Linked DNA regions of Elephas maximus indicus. The main gene of each other region encodes a partner of the protein of the gene in region 2 in a complex. Links are inferred from orthologs where the notes say so. Each region holds a gene or a part of one and is shown on either strand. Other genes may lie near its edges.

Evidence for each region. Proteins that work in one complex are often made in the same cells at the same time.
Region 1: the proteins of GSK3B (region 2) and FRAT1 are in contact, whole or in part, in a crystal structure (PDB 5OY4), measured with the Homo sapiens proteins. The link is inferred for Elephas maximus indicus from reciprocal best matches to the Homo sapiens genes GSK3B and FRAT1. Residues at the interface, in NP_001139628.1 of Homo sapiens: Tyr216, Ile228, Phe229, Ser261, Gly262, Val263, Asp264, Leu266, Val267, Ile270, Lys271, Thr275, Pro276, Ile281, Tyr288, Thr289, Glu290, Phe291, Lys292, Phe293, Pro294, Ile296; in NP_005470.2 of Homo sapiens: His200, Leu202, Leu203, Leu206, Val207, Ser209, Gly210, Asn211, Leu212, Ile213, Lys214, Glu215, Ala216, Val217, Arg219, Leu220, His221.

Annotation. Positions count from the first base shown.
Region 1 is NC_064834.1:49,097,297-49,104,902, reverse strand, and holds FRAT1 (proto-oncogene FRAT1), read right to left. Parts: upstream 3,003-7,606; 5' UTR 2,813-3,002; coding exon 2,003-2,812; 3' UTR 487-2,002; downstream 1-486. UniProt on the Homo sapiens protein: Positively regulates the Wnt signaling pathway by stabilizing beta-catenin through the association with GSK-3. May play a role in tumor progression and collaborate with PIM1 and MYC in lymphomagenesis.
Region 2 is NC_064819.1:10,595,765-10,602,666, forward strand, and holds the start of GSK3B (glycogen synthase kinase-3 beta), read right to left. Parts: upstream 3,021-6,902; 5' UTR 2,565-3,020; coding exon 2,477-2,564; intron 1-2,476. UniProt on the Homo sapiens protein: Constitutively active protein kinase that acts as a negative regulator in the hormonal control of glucose homeostasis, Wnt signaling and regulation of transcription factors and microtubules, by phosphorylating and inactivating glycogen synthase (GYS1 or GYS2), EIF2B, CTNNB1/beta-catenin, APC, AXIN1, DPYSL2/CRMP2, JUN, NFATC1/NFATC, MAPT/TAU and MACF1.

The sequences.
Region 1 (7,606 bases), on a different chromosome or scaffold from region 2:
CACCACCCAGGGAATCCTTTAATGACTGCACTAGTAAGAAAAAAACGATATGTTTCCCAGTCTGCGATGACTGATCTGATGTCCCTTGCTAACATAGTCAGAAAAAAAAAAATCATAAATCATCTCCATTACTAAACAGTAATCCAAATGGCTCTGAGGTTTGGGTGAATGGGATTGGTCCAAAGCCTGACCTCACTTTCATTGAATTTCATGCCAGGACCAATACACACCCAGCACAGACCTTGTCTAACTAGTGAGATCCTCAGTCACAAAGACGCTGTAATTACCATCTCAAAGCCAGGCTGACAGGGATTTCAGGTGTTTTCATGTTTATGGAGATCAGAGAAATGTGTTCTGTACATCTTTTCCACTGAGCGGAAGGATAAAACCAAGCAAAAACCCAACACATTTATTCAAAACGTATTTAAGATAAAATCCTATAATGAGGATAGCCACAATTCCAGACACTCCAGTGCCAAGTGTAGATAGCCACATCCAGATGATGGACAAGCCATTGACTCCTACAAAGCTAAAGCAAGAACTAGAAGGTTTTAGCTCCCTTGGAGTGAGTGCGCAGCGTGCTCCAAGCACTTCACCACGGTTCACAAAGGCAAAGCCTGCTGCTTCTCCATTTGGAGAGTAGCATTTTCTACTCGGTTTACTTCACTTACAAAGGCGAGTGGGCATGGCTGGCGGTGGGGTAGAGGGAGGAAATCAACTCCTATCCAGGAAATTGCAGCTGTTATTGCAAAAAGCCCCGGAGAGCCCATTATAAGCTGCAGTGAGAGGCTGTCCCTGGAGTGCCTGTCACGTGGCGTCTCCCCAGCCCCCAGCCCGGGCCCCCAGGAACGCCCGCGCCACCCGCTTGAGTAGGAGAGGAGAGCCGAGGGACAGAGGTGGGATCTGGGGCCACGTCTCAGGACAGTGTCCGTGACAGCCCAGAGCGTGGCCAGGGGCGGCAGCCGTCAGTGGGAAGCACAGGCTCCGGGCACAGCCCAGCCTCTCCACACCCGCGGTGGCGGCGGCGCGCGTGTCCTCAGGAGACTCCAGCAATTGCAAAACACCGCGCACTTCTCGGAGTATAGGCAGAGCCCGGCGACTCTTCTACCCTGCTGGAGCCTGGCACCGCTATGTGCGACCAGAAAACTGACCTTGACCCGGAGGAGGGGCGGGGCGGCTGTTAAAAGCCACTTTAGAGAGGACCGACGGGTCACTCCCCGCCTCACTCTACCTTTCCACCACCCAACACCTCCTGTCCGGGTCCTACTCTCCTGTCCCCAGGCTAGGAGTACAGCCTTCCCCGACGGCTCTGAAAACAGCAGCCGGCCCCAAAGAAGGGGCAGAGAAAAAGGCTACTCCTATTCAACCCTCAAAGGTTCCTTTCATGGTACGTGCGTTTTATATTAAGAAAGAGCACTTCAAAAGACATGAGGTCCTTTTTTAAATGTAAAATTTCAGGCCTGGCAGTTTGAGGTGCTCCCTGGAATTATCAATGTCTATTTGTGTTTCCCTCCCTCAAAATGGATCAGGGACCAGCCCTGAAACGGTTGATCAAGTAACTGGGATCGCCCTCCAGCCTGAGCCCAGTGAGGCCGCTGGACTCGCGACGAGGGCGTCCGGGCCCCGGTCCTGGACAGCGTCCTTCCCGAGCTCTGCTGTCCTGAGTAGGGTGGACTGTAGTCACATGGCCACCAGGCTGTAGGGCCCTGAGAAGCTAGCTGCAAGGAACTGCACGCTGCGCCACCAGTACGTGTCTTATTAGGACTGGGGTTGCGAAATGTAATCTGCCTTGAATAGGGCCAAGACCTGTATTTCAAAGAGAGGGGCGCTTGTCCCCAGCTCCCCGCGGAAACCTTCGCGATTTTCCTATTCCTCGTCTTCATTAGCTTATATTTTCTGCTTTCAAAGGCGCGAGTTCTCCGTTAGTCTCGAGCAGGGCTGCAGTCCCGTGGGTACCCCCGACGCCTAGTCTGAGGCTGGCGCTGTGGGTACCCTGGGCTTGTTAGCTGCTGGGGACAAGAACTCTGTCTGCAGTTCTGAGCGGCGCGCTCCTCCTGGACGCGCCAGGGTCACTACAGGCTGCGCGAGAGCTGCGGGGGAGCACAGGTCCCGGGAGCCGGCGTTGGGGAAGCTTTGCATATAAATGCAGCCGTCGCGAGCGAAGCCTCCGCACTGCCTCCTTGATGAGGTTTCCCGAGAGTAGGAGCTGCTGCAGGAGACGGTGAGAGTCGTCGTCGCTGGTGCGGCCTTTGGCCCGGGGCCCGAGTCGCTGTCGTAGACGGCGGGAGGCGGCTGCACCCCGGAGCCATCCTCGCCGGCACCGCCCGGACAGCTGCCGCGAGGCGCCCGGCTTGCCGGATCCGGGAGTTCCTTCAAAGCCGGGCTGAGGGGGTAGTAGTGACAGCGCCGTGGGGCCGGCGGCAAACTCGGCCACTAAGTAGGGCGCAGCCCAGTCCCGCACGCTGCCGCAGTCCCCGAAGGTGCTATACAGGGCTCCTAGGTTCGTGGCCTCGACCGATGAGGGCGGCAGATGCAGCGGCAGCGCCGGGGGCCGGGCCCTGTACGCCGGCACCTCAGCCAGGGGCAGCGGTGGCTGCAGCGGCTGCCACGGCGGTGCGCACAAGGAGGCCGGGCTGTCCTGCGCCGGGTCCAGCTGCAGCGCCTCGCCTATCTGGGCCACTAGCCGGTCCACCTCGGCCGATCCGCCCAGCCTCGCTGGCTGCTCCAGCAGGAGAAAGCTATCCTCCTGCTCTTTTTCCTCCCCCTCCGCTTCCTCGCCGGCTTTCTCTTCTTCCTCCCTGCGGCACGGCATGGCCCCCGGCCCGGGCACCCGGAGCTCTGCAGGCGTCGTCGGCGGCCCGGCTCCCGTTAGGGTTCGGTGGGCCGCAGCAGAGCCGGGAGTGATCCTGACGCCAAAGCCAGGGCCGGGGATGCGGAGGACTAGGAAGCCGGAGCCCGCCAGGCGCTCGCTGCGCGCCTGCAGTCGCGGGAGCCAGAATTCTACCCGCTGTTAGATTTGTAAACAATGGGTGACGTAGCGCCCGGCCCTACCACAGCGCGGGGACTGGGGGTGGTGTGTCATTCGAGGGCAGGGGTCCTGCAGGTCTGGGGTTCAGGTTGAAGCCCTGCTGCCTCTGAGCTCAGGATGGCCGAGTGCGGTGTGCGGGAGTGCACTGGGGAGCTGATCCTGGCTTTCTTAGCCAGCAGTGATAGGCATTTCCAGAAGTTGGACACCGACGCGGACACCATTGGTTTCTTCCACACACAAGCACATACACTTAGACACACACCAACACACACCCCTTCTCTCGGCGCGACAAATATTGTTTTAACCTTCGCGCTTTCGTGATCCTGGGTGCTGGTGCTTGGAGAGTGATGACGAGAAGTGCTGGAGAGGCAAAGATGGAGAGGTGGGGGAGCCAGGCAGAGGGCCTGGCTAGAGGTTAGGAAAACAAGGCTGACTGGGATGGAAGGTAGGAAGGGACACTTCGGTGCAAGTGGTAATGGCGGAGTTGGAATTGGCAAAGACAGGCCACACATTAAGGTGATTAGTGTTTCTTGATCAGGCGGATGGGCGTGGGGGGCCTGGACTAGGGCTGGAGTTGCTGAAGACAGAGGAGAAGGTTGACGGGCTTGGGGGGGGCCGTGAGCTAGAAAGGCTTCTTTTAAGAAAAATTCCGCAGCCCAGTAGGGAGGATCCCTGCTGAGGTGCTAGCAGGAGGGGAAAATGGAAAGCTGTTTGGTTAAAAATGGAGATGTGGGTTAGCTTAACCTTTGTAGATATTATGGTTGGCTTAGTGGTAAACCAAGACTTCATTTTTAACCAAAGGAGCAGAAAATGATCCTTTAGTGTCATGTTGCTTGGGGATTTTGGACTGTTATTCAAAATTCCAAGCCCTCCAGGCCTAACTTTCAGACACTGCATTTATAGGTAAGCTTTTGGTGGACCTGCCTTTAAAAGCCAACCAGGCCATCACCAACTGAATTATGGTGATGGCTGCACCACTAAGTAAATTCACTAAAAATAATTGAAAGTTCTCTTCAGATGACTGAATTTTACTGCATATAAATTACATTTTGGAAAAGTTGTTTAGGAAGCCTGCTTGGCTGCTAAGCAAAAGGTTGGAGGTTTGAGTCCACCCAGAGGCATCTCATAAGAAAGGACTGGAGATCTATTTCCAAAAAATCAGCCACTGAAAATCCTACGGAACACAGTTCTGTCTGATACACGTGGGGTCGGTGTGAATTGGAATCTACTCAACAGCAACTGGTTTTAAAGTTGTTTTAAAAATTAGCCACAAAGCACACACCCACAAACACACAGAATCCAACAAGGAGAGTTCGGACTCTGTGCAAAGCAACAGGGTGCTTGTTACTTTATCGATAACAGAGGGGGATGCTTTAGAAAGGGGATGCAAGAGGGAAAGATTGGGGGCCAGGGATCCAGATAACAAGTAGAAATCGAGGGTATTGGTGAGTGGTGCTGAGGATGACACTTAGAGTAATAATCCTTTAGGAAGTGGTGGAATGGAATGAAATCCTGGACAACTTCAGTATTTTCTCCATTTATCATGATGTTGCTCATTGGTCCAGTTGTGAGGATTTTTGTTTTCTTTATGTTGAGGCGGAATCCATGCTGAAGGCTGTGGTCTTTGATCTTCATCAGTAAGTGCTTCATGTCCTCTTCACTTTCAGTAAACAAGGTTGTGTCATTTGCGTATTTCAGTTTGTTAATGAGTCTTTCTCCAAACGGGATGCCCTGTTCTTTTTCACATAGTCTAGCTTCTCAGATTATCTGCTCAACATACAGATTGAATAAGTGCGGTGAAAGGATACAACACTTTCATACTGTTCCTGGTTTTAAACCAGGCAGTATTCAGCTTGTTCTGTTTGAAAGACTGCCTCTTGGTCTATGCACAGGTTCCACATGAGCACAATTAAGCGTTCTGGAATTCCCATTCTTCACAGTGTTGCCCATAATTTGCTATGATCCACACAGTCATATGTCTTTGCATAGTCAATAAAACACAGGTAAACATCTTTCTGGTATTCTCTGCTTTCGGCCAGTATTCATCTGACATCAGCAATGATATCCCTTGTTCCATGTACTCTTGTGAATCCTGGCAAATTTCTGGCAGTTCCCTGTTTATATAGTGCTGCAGCCCTTTTTGAACGATCTTCAGCAAAATTTTACTTGTGCATGATATTGCTTGATAATTTCTGCGTTCTGTTGAATCGTGTTTCTTTGGAATGGGTGACCTTTATTAGGTTGTAAATGTTTCCTTCCATTCCTGATTTTTCGAGTGTTTTTATCGTGAAAAGACCAACAACTTATTTTAAATTGTTCATTTGAGAATGTGGTCAAAGCAGCCATTTATTAGCTATACTATTCTGAACCTGATTCTTTAAAATTTTAAGATGAAAATAAATAGGAGCAGTTTCTAATCTCTGTTTTTATTCTTTGGTTCAGGATTTATAAGCTTCAAGCGTTTTTCTGGGGTTGAAAATGGTATGACTGCTGCCTTAGTCATCTAGCGCTGCCATAACAGAAATACCACAAGTGGATGGCTTTAACAAAAAGAAATTCATTTTCTCACAGCCTAGTAGGTTACAAGTCCAAATTCAGGGCGTCAGCTCCAGGGGAAGGCTTTCTTAGTGGTATGAGGTCCTCAACTCTGGTTGCTTCTCTTTCGTTTAATCTCCAAAATGTGGTGCAGGCCACATCCCAGGGAAACTCCCTTTACATTGGATCAGAGAGGTGACCTGAATAAGAGTGGTGTTACAATCCTACCCTGATCCTCTCAACATAAAATTAGAATCACAAAATGGAGGACAACCACACAATACTGGGAATCATGGCCTAACCAAGTTGATACTCACATTTTTGGGGGGACATAATTCAACCCATTACCCAAAAAACCCAGTGCCGTGGTGTTGATTCCAACTCACTGCGACTCTATAGGACAGAGTAGAACTGCCCCATAGAGTTTCCAAGGAGCGCCTGGAGGATTCGAACTGGCGACCGTTTGGTTAGCAGCTGTAGTACTTGACCACTATGCCACCAGGGTTTCCTAATCCATGACAGCTTATAAAATAAACAGTATCACCTGTGAGTACTGTGCTCCTTTGAAAAATCATCTGTGTGAGACCAAACTTGTCAACATATACTCTAAAGAAAGATGAGAAGGTAAGGAGAGGGGGGCAGGGAAATTTGATTAATGGAAACAGAATAACCAGAATGGAAATAATGATAATTTCGATACACTATGAAAAATGGGAAACCCTGGTGGCCTAGTGGTTAAGTGCTACAGCTGCTAACCAAAGGGTCGGCAGTTCGAATCTGCCAGGCTTTTCTTGGAAACCCTATGGGGCAGTTCTACTCTGTCCTATAGGGTTGCTATGAGTCGGAATCAACTTGACAGCACTGGGTTTGGTTTGGTTGGTTTTGTGAAAAATGTAACCAATGTCACTGAGCAATTTATATAGAAATTGTTAAGTGGGAACCTAATTTGCTGTGTAAACATTCACCAAAAACACAATAAAATATTATATAAAGAAAATCATCACATGAATCAATCTGAATCTTTTACTTTTGACAAACTTCTTTTTGGAATTTCATTCTGGGTAGAGCATTGTTTTACAGATTGTGGGGTCCCGAAAGCTACCGTTTCCCAACAAAGGTGATCCAGCCGAATGTGGAAATTATAGAACAATATCATTAATATCACACGCAAGCAAAATTTTGCTGAAGAGCATTCAAAAACGGCTGCAGCAGTATATCGACAGGGAACTGCCAGAAATTCAGGCCGGTTTCAGAGGAGGACGTGGAACCAGGGATATCATTGCTGATGTCAGATGGATCCTGGCTGAAAGCAGAGAATATGAGAAGGATGTTTACCTGTGTTTTATTGACTATGCAAAGACATTCGACTGTGTGGATCATAACAAATTATGGATAAATTGTGAAGAATGGGAATTCCAGAACACTTAATTGTGCTCATGAAGAACCTTTACATAGATCCAGAGGCAGTTCAAACGGAACAAGGGGATACTGATGGGTTTAAAGTCAGGAAAGGTGTGTGTCAGGGTTGTATTCTTTCACCATACCTACTCGATCTGTAGGCTGAGCAAATAATCTGAGAAGATGGACTATATGAAGAAGAATGGCGCATCAGGATTGGAGGAAGACTTATTAACAACCTGCGTTACGCAGATGACACAACCTTGCTGGCTGAAAGTGAAGAGGACTTGAAGCAATTACTAATGAAGATCAAAGACCACAGCCTTCAGTATGGATTGCACCTCAACATAAAGAAAACAAAAATCCTCACAACTGGACCAATGAGCAACATCATGATAAACGGAGAAAAGATTGAAGTTGTCAAGGATTTCATTTTACTTGGATCCACAATCAACGGCCATGGAAGCAGCAGTCAAGAAATCAAAAGATGCGTTGCATTGGGTAAATCTGCTACAAAGGACCTCTTTAAAGTGTCGAAGAGCAAAGATGCCACCTTGAAGACTAAGGTGCGCCTGACCCAAGCCGTGGTATTTTCAATCACATCATATACGTGTGAAAGCGGGACAGTGAATGAGGAAGACCAAA
Region 2 (6,902 bases):
TCCACCAGCTAGCCTTCCTATATTTCTCAACTTCCAGCGCTTCCTATTTTCTTACTTAAAAAAACATACTTAGTCCTCTTTAATTCAGATTTGCCAACTTCCTTGCTGTCTCCCATACAAAAATCACCGCCTGAGCCTCGGTCCATTCCTTCCACCTAGAATCCCTCAGGCTTCGCTATCAATTCAAGTTACTGCCTCCTTTAACACCAGTCTTCAAAAGCACCTTCCACAGGATGTCTTCCCTCTCCAACCCATCAGCCTCACCCCTCAACTCTTTGTCCCTCAGAACAAAGGATGGGACTTATCTTTTATCATCTTGCAGTCATCACGCTATTGTTTTCATCTTCTTTCTCAGAAGCTCTTGAGTCTAAGGACCACAATGTCTTACGTATCTCTCTTTTGAACAGAAGTTCCTTAGAACGCTAGCACTCAGAAAATGCTTAACTCCTCTTTCTTCTAAAATGTCCTTAGAGTCAAAGTTATCAAAAACACATAATTAGCATTAAACTCCTAATTTTTAAATGTTTAGTTGACCTATACAATAACAGAAAATCACACACTTTACATACTTTATAAAAGCTACTCCATCCTCAGTCAACATCACAATACCAAGAATTAGGAAAGCAAAGAAAATCCTGGAAACGAAACGAAAAGCCCAAAAGCTTAGCATTATAGGATATTTTATTTTGCTCTCTGAAATAAATCTAATGAGTTAATTACCTAAAATTGATCTCAAGTGGTTTTTAAACTATGTTACCAAGATGTAAAACGTACAAACACTCCAGTACCACAAGAGGCTCTTAGGCAGCTATTATAAGATTTGCTTCATCATAGCTGAAAATTACGCCAGAATTTTTAAATATTCCTTTCAAATGACCCCATGAAATGCCTAGAAAGCTTGACCCTTCCCTGAAAGATGCATCAGCTTCCCTCTTCTCTACTAGTCACTGCATTCTCTATTAGCTAGTCACTAGGGGGGAAAAAAATTAACTTTCAAAAAAAATCTCCCATTCAGCTATTACCTTGGCCTACCCTGTTTCAGGCAAGTTCCAAAAGCCAACATGATTTGAAATTTTGAATTCAATTAAAAGCGATCATTTTATGTTGCTTAAGGATATAGTCAATTTCACAAGCCAGCATGTACTTTTAATATCTCACTTCTTCAGTTCTCTCAGTTCCTCTAAGCAACAAGATGGTTTGCCTTTGCCCTCAGCGTATCCCTTTTGTTCAGGAATAAAGAAAACCACCTACACATGCTTATCAAATTCTGTAAGTGTATTTAAATAAGTTGTCATTAGACACCATTATCAAAGATACAATAAACATCTCCACAAACTCTGATACATTGGAACAATGTTATATTCCTTAAAGCAACGACTTCAAGAACCTCAACTTTTCTGCACAAACCAGGCACGAGAGTACATACAGCCTGGCGACAACTCTGAACACAGCCCAAATAGTCCTCTTACATCCAGGACCACAGCATTCTGCAAAAGTTATGACGGAAGGGCTAAATCGATAGTCTTATAACTAAGTCCGTATTATCTAAATGTGAGGAAACCACTGAAAGAGTATCTTAAATAGCCCTAAAAAGGGACCCCCTGGAACAAGTAACAAATGCAATTCAATTTTGGGAACGCGAACTTAGATAGCAATGCGTCAGTGACAGTTATTTGGCAATTCGGTTTACTACAAACCTCAGTCGAAACTGGGACCTACTTCCAAGTTGCCTTCTGATGAAACATAAATTATACAGTGGCGAACTGCGAATGTGTCAAAACGGAAAAATTAACGATAGCACATTCAACCACTTAAACAACTGAAGACAATGCGAGCAGGGGTGCTCCCATCTGTGGGCTCCCCGGGCCCCTTCCAGAGGAGGAACCAAGGCTGCCTCCAAACGTGACCGCTGGTCACTGAGTAAGTTCAGCCCGCAGGGCGGAGAACAAATACTCTGTATAGTCGCACAGGCAAGAAAAAAAAGGTTAGGAGATTGGGACTTTTAGTGTCTCCATTAAGTATGCAAAACTATGATGACCCCTGAGAGCTGCGCTAACTAAAATGCGCCAAAAGACATCCACTCTGCAAATGTGCATAATGGTTTACGAATCAAGTCCTGTCCTTCTCTTTATTCAAAAGGATGAACAAGTAAACACTTTCCATCACTGTTTTAACGAGCAAACACTCAAGCACTTGGTGAAGCGGACTAACAACAGCCAAGAAAAGTATAAGCAGTGTTTCAAATCGAATGATCCAAGTAAAAAATCCCATTCTGTCATTCAAGGTTAATAAGACCGGGGGAGGGGTTTGGGAGGAGAAAAGAGGGAGCTGCCTCATCCTAGACTGAAGACAGGTTCTATCCTTTTCCATTACCAGGTTGCCTCTTACCAAGTCTAGTCCCTTAAAATCCTATTTCAAGGTTTCTTATTTTAAGGGCGACGTGGAGAAAGGGTTGTAAATTAAAATCAATACTCACTGCTAACTTTCATGCTGCCAAAAGCCGAAGGCTGCTGCACTGGCTTGCAGCTCTCCGCAAAGGAGGTGGTTCTGGGCCGCCCTGACATGATCACTCTCTTCCCGAATCACCTTTTCCTTCCTTCCTCTTGTCTTCCTATTGTTTTATGTTGGGGTGTTAGGTTAATGATAAATGCAGCATTAAGTTCTCCCCGGGAAAAAGAAAAAGACTTCGTCCTCTTGGCTTTGCACTCCTTTTATATTATCAAAAAAAAAAAAAAGATGGATTTCTCCTTCAAGACAGATCGGTATAGATATTTAACATATAGATGATTTGGGTGAAAAAAATACAATTCTTCTCCCTCCCTTTCAGGGAGGAGGCGGGGAGGAAAAAAGAAAGCTCCTAAAAAATACCTATCACGTGCAGCAGGGCAAATACTTGATTGAAAATAAGTCCTGTGAAGATTGTCTTTTCCTCGGGGATTTTTTTTCCGAGTCAATGAAGAAGGGAAGCGGCGGAAGGATCACGAGTCTCCCGCCGGCCGCGGGGGGAGGGGAGCAGGGGGAGGGGGTGGCTCGGCGAGGCCACGGGAAGCGCTGCGGCCCCGGCGGCCTGGAGACGGGCCCGGCGGCGGCGGCGGCGGCGGCGGCGGCGGCCGAGGGCGAGGTGCTCAGACGCGGGCGGCGGCGGCGGCGCTGGCGGCTCCCCTCCTCATTGCGCCAGGAGCAGCTGCAGGCGGCGGCTGGATCCAGCGGCCATGGCGGCGGCGGCGGCGGAGGCAGCTCCCTTCAGACCCCAGGCAGCGGCTCCTCGGCTGCTCCCCATACGCGGGGGACATGGGAACGCGGCCGCCGCTTCCGTCCCTCGGGGCCCCCTCCCCGTCCGCGGCCCCAGCGCGGCCGCCCTCCCGGCCCTCGCCTCGGCTCGGCGTCCGCTCAGGAAGCGTCCGCGCTGCGGCCCCAGCCCGGAGCACTGTCAGCGGCTGCGGGCCGGCTCCTCCTCGCTTCCTTCCTTCCTTCCTTCCTTTGTCACTCGGCCCGGGCTGCGGCGGCGGCACAAGCCCGCATTCGCCCGGCTCGGGGGCTGCTCTGTGTGAGGCGAGCCGTCTGCGCAGTCGCCTAGCTCCTCGCCGCACCCCCTCCCCCCTGCTGCTCGTCCTCCGCCTCCTTCCTCCCCCACCCAGCCTTACACCGCCCAGCGCCCCGCCGCCCGCGTAACAGGCGTCTGGGAATCGCCGGCCGAGCCCCGCGCCCGCCCCCTTCGGCTGGGGAGCCGAAGCCCGAGCGGGGCCAATCACGGGCGTCGTTTGTTTGCGGCTCCTCCCGGAAAAAGCCGATCGACCTGAAGAGCCAATTGGAGAGTGCCGCCGGAAATCCACGCCCGAGGAGCGGAAAATGCCGAGGATAACCGAACGGGAGCAAGGGGGATTCGCCTTGTTTTGTGGCTGGCTGAAGGAGAAATTCGACGGCGGCAACAGTAGCCAATCAGAGCCGCCGTCTCTCTGGAAAAAGCATGAAGAGTTAAGGTCGGTGAAACCCAGAGTTCCAGGTGAAACTGTACTGCTGAGAGCCGCGGCCGCTTTGTAATTGGCTGAAAAACTCTGCTGGGCGTGTCCCTCACTCGGTGATTGGAGGAGGAAAGGGGGCATCCGAGGAGAGTCTAACCAATCAGAACTGCTCTTCCCTAGCCGAGGGGGGGAGAAGAAGAAAGCTAAGGGAGGACGTTTATAAAGCGCCTTCTTATTGGCTTGAAGCTTTAGAGCGGAGGGAATGGGAGGGAGGCCGAAACTCGTTGCGATAGCCAATCGGCACTGACGGCTCTCCTATCGCAAGACCTAGCTGCAGTGTGATTGGCCTACAACCTACGGCGGCGGCCCCAGGCGCTAGGAGCTCGTCTGGGGTCGTGGCGGGCGGTGTCGCCTACTCGCTGGCGGCTGCTCCCAACCCGTAGGAAAGCCGCAGACAGGGAGCGCGGGCTTTCCGCGCACCCGCTTCGCGCAGCCTGTCCCAAACCCGTGGTCGGCGGAGCTGGGCTCTGCTAGTGCTTAAGCCAGCGAAGGGTCGGGGGCTCTCCGCACTCCCTGGAGGCTCTCGGCGGGGTGCGGCTAAGTCTCTGCGCCCGAGCCATCCTTCAGCCTGAGATCGCGCGTCCCGAGGACCTGCGTCTTCCCCAGGAGGCCCCAAGGGACCCCTCCGGCCGGCTGCGATTTCTCAGACACGAAAGTGGGGACAAAGCTTCCAGAAAAGCAGCGCCCCCGGGCAGCCGCGCCCCGCCCGGCCGCGGGGACCATTGACAGCGCGAGGCTGACTACGCCTCATGCGCACGGCCCAGCTGGGCCTTCTGGAAACGCCCCTAAGAAATGAGCTCATTCTGGATGCGCGCACTCCTTGGGCGCCACTGCCCGGTGCAGAAGGGGCCAAAAGCAGGTGAGGGGAGATGCCGTCAGGCCGGATATCCTGAGATCTCTAAGGAAGCGGAGTCAGCATAGCCCTGAGTGCCTTTGGGTCCTCCGGAACCAGGGTCGTCTATAAAAGCACTATTTGAGTAGATTTCACACATTGTCCAGCCTTCATTGCTCTACTGGAGAGCCAGGTTTTTTTTTTGTTTTTTTTGTTTTTGTCAGAGGACAGTGAGGTGTGGCTACATCAGGATAGCAGGGAAAGTAGAGTAGACAGTTGCCATGCTGATTATGATTCCCTGGGACCTGTAATTTCCACCTACAGGCTCACTACTTTCAAGATGCTGTCTCCAGAAAGCACATGTAAAAGTACTCATTTGATCAGACTGCCTAGCAGTTGGCTTGGAAAGTCTGATGAAGGACTTGGGATAGAACAAAGTAAGCTTTGATGGGAGACAGGAAAAGTCTAGACAAGTAAAGCAAATGAGTGAAACTGGCCTGGTGTAAGACAATGGCGAATGATAGAGAATATGGCAACTTGGAGTATCCCTGCCGGAACTAAAATGAGCAGCTGCTCCTCAGCCCTAGCAGATTGTTGCCCTCAGGAATGTGGGTTCAGTGCAGGGCTTCCAACCAGTTAGTTCAGGTTCGAACCCCTGCTGAGAATTTGCATTTCTATCCCAGATAAACTGAATTAGAATCTACATTTTAATAAAACCCCCTGGTGATTCTTAATGTATAATAAATTTTAAGAACCACTGCTCTGCTAAGTGGTTCTCAGAATTGGTCCCTAACCAGCAGCATCAGCATCGCCTGGGAACTTGTTAGAAATGCAAATTATCAGCAGAGGTTTCAACCAGAAAAGGTTCAAAGACCTGGTTCAGTGTTTTTGAGATAGTCAGTGTTGTTTTTGTTTTCCCAAGATTAAACTAAGAGCTGGATTTTTGTGTAAAACCTCTGGATTTTTAAATGTTGACAACCAATACTTAAAACATTGCAGGGCAAACTAAAAACATCCTGGGGTAGACGTGGCAAACAGGCAATCAATTTGCAGTATTTAACCAGAGCATAGATTTTGTAGCCCCAGAGCAGTAGAGGCCCTAGTTCTTTGCAATTAAGAGAGAACATGAGATCAGTGGATGTCATGGGGGAGGGTAAAGAACATTAAAAGCCAACTCAGTGCATGGCAAGCTTGTCAGCTGATTGGTGGCTCTCCATGCTATTAGGAAAAGCCTTTGTCACTGCTCCTGAAAATGCTGTGAGGCAACACTTTAAATCCTGCCTTCCTCTTATACCAGCAAGAAAGTGAATAGGAAATGTTTAGGTTACACAAATTGGAAACACGGGTATTATTTTGTAATACAAAAATGACCTAACTTGAGGTTATATTTAGCTTTACTGTTGCTGCCTTCAAATATTTTGAACTGATGCTGTTAAAACAAAAATCTGAACGAGAGGGAAATTTTATAGGAAAAAAAGTATGTATGTCAGTCTAAGAATTAGAGCTGGAGAGAGAAGTTTATGAGGAAATACAGAACTACGCAAACATTTAGTGATTGCTTCCCTGAACTGTTCAAATCCAATGTTACCTTCCCACCTACTGTCAACTACTAACCAGTTTATAATAGTAATAGTAAACAGTTAATATTTATTGAGCGTTTACAACGTGCTAGGCATTGTTCTTAAGTGCTTCACACATACTGTCTCATTTAAACTTCATAACAATCCTACCCTGCTTTTCAGAAAGCTTTACTAACTTGCTTCAGGTCCACAAAGCTGAAGTAGCAGAGCTAGGATTCATATCCCCTGTTCTTAGGCCCTGCTCCGTACTTTTCTCTCTCACAGAGTCCCCACATTCCTCCATATGTCTTGCTTTATCACCTTATGCCTTCTTACTGTGGCATCTGATGTGAACACAGCCCTCAGTATAGTGTCAGTTTGGTTTGCTCCTGGGCTCATGAGATGGTCTCACGTAGAGATCAGTAAGTAATTCTAAGCCGAATTCTGTGTGGTTACTGAGAGTGTCCACAAAATGATATTTATAAGTTA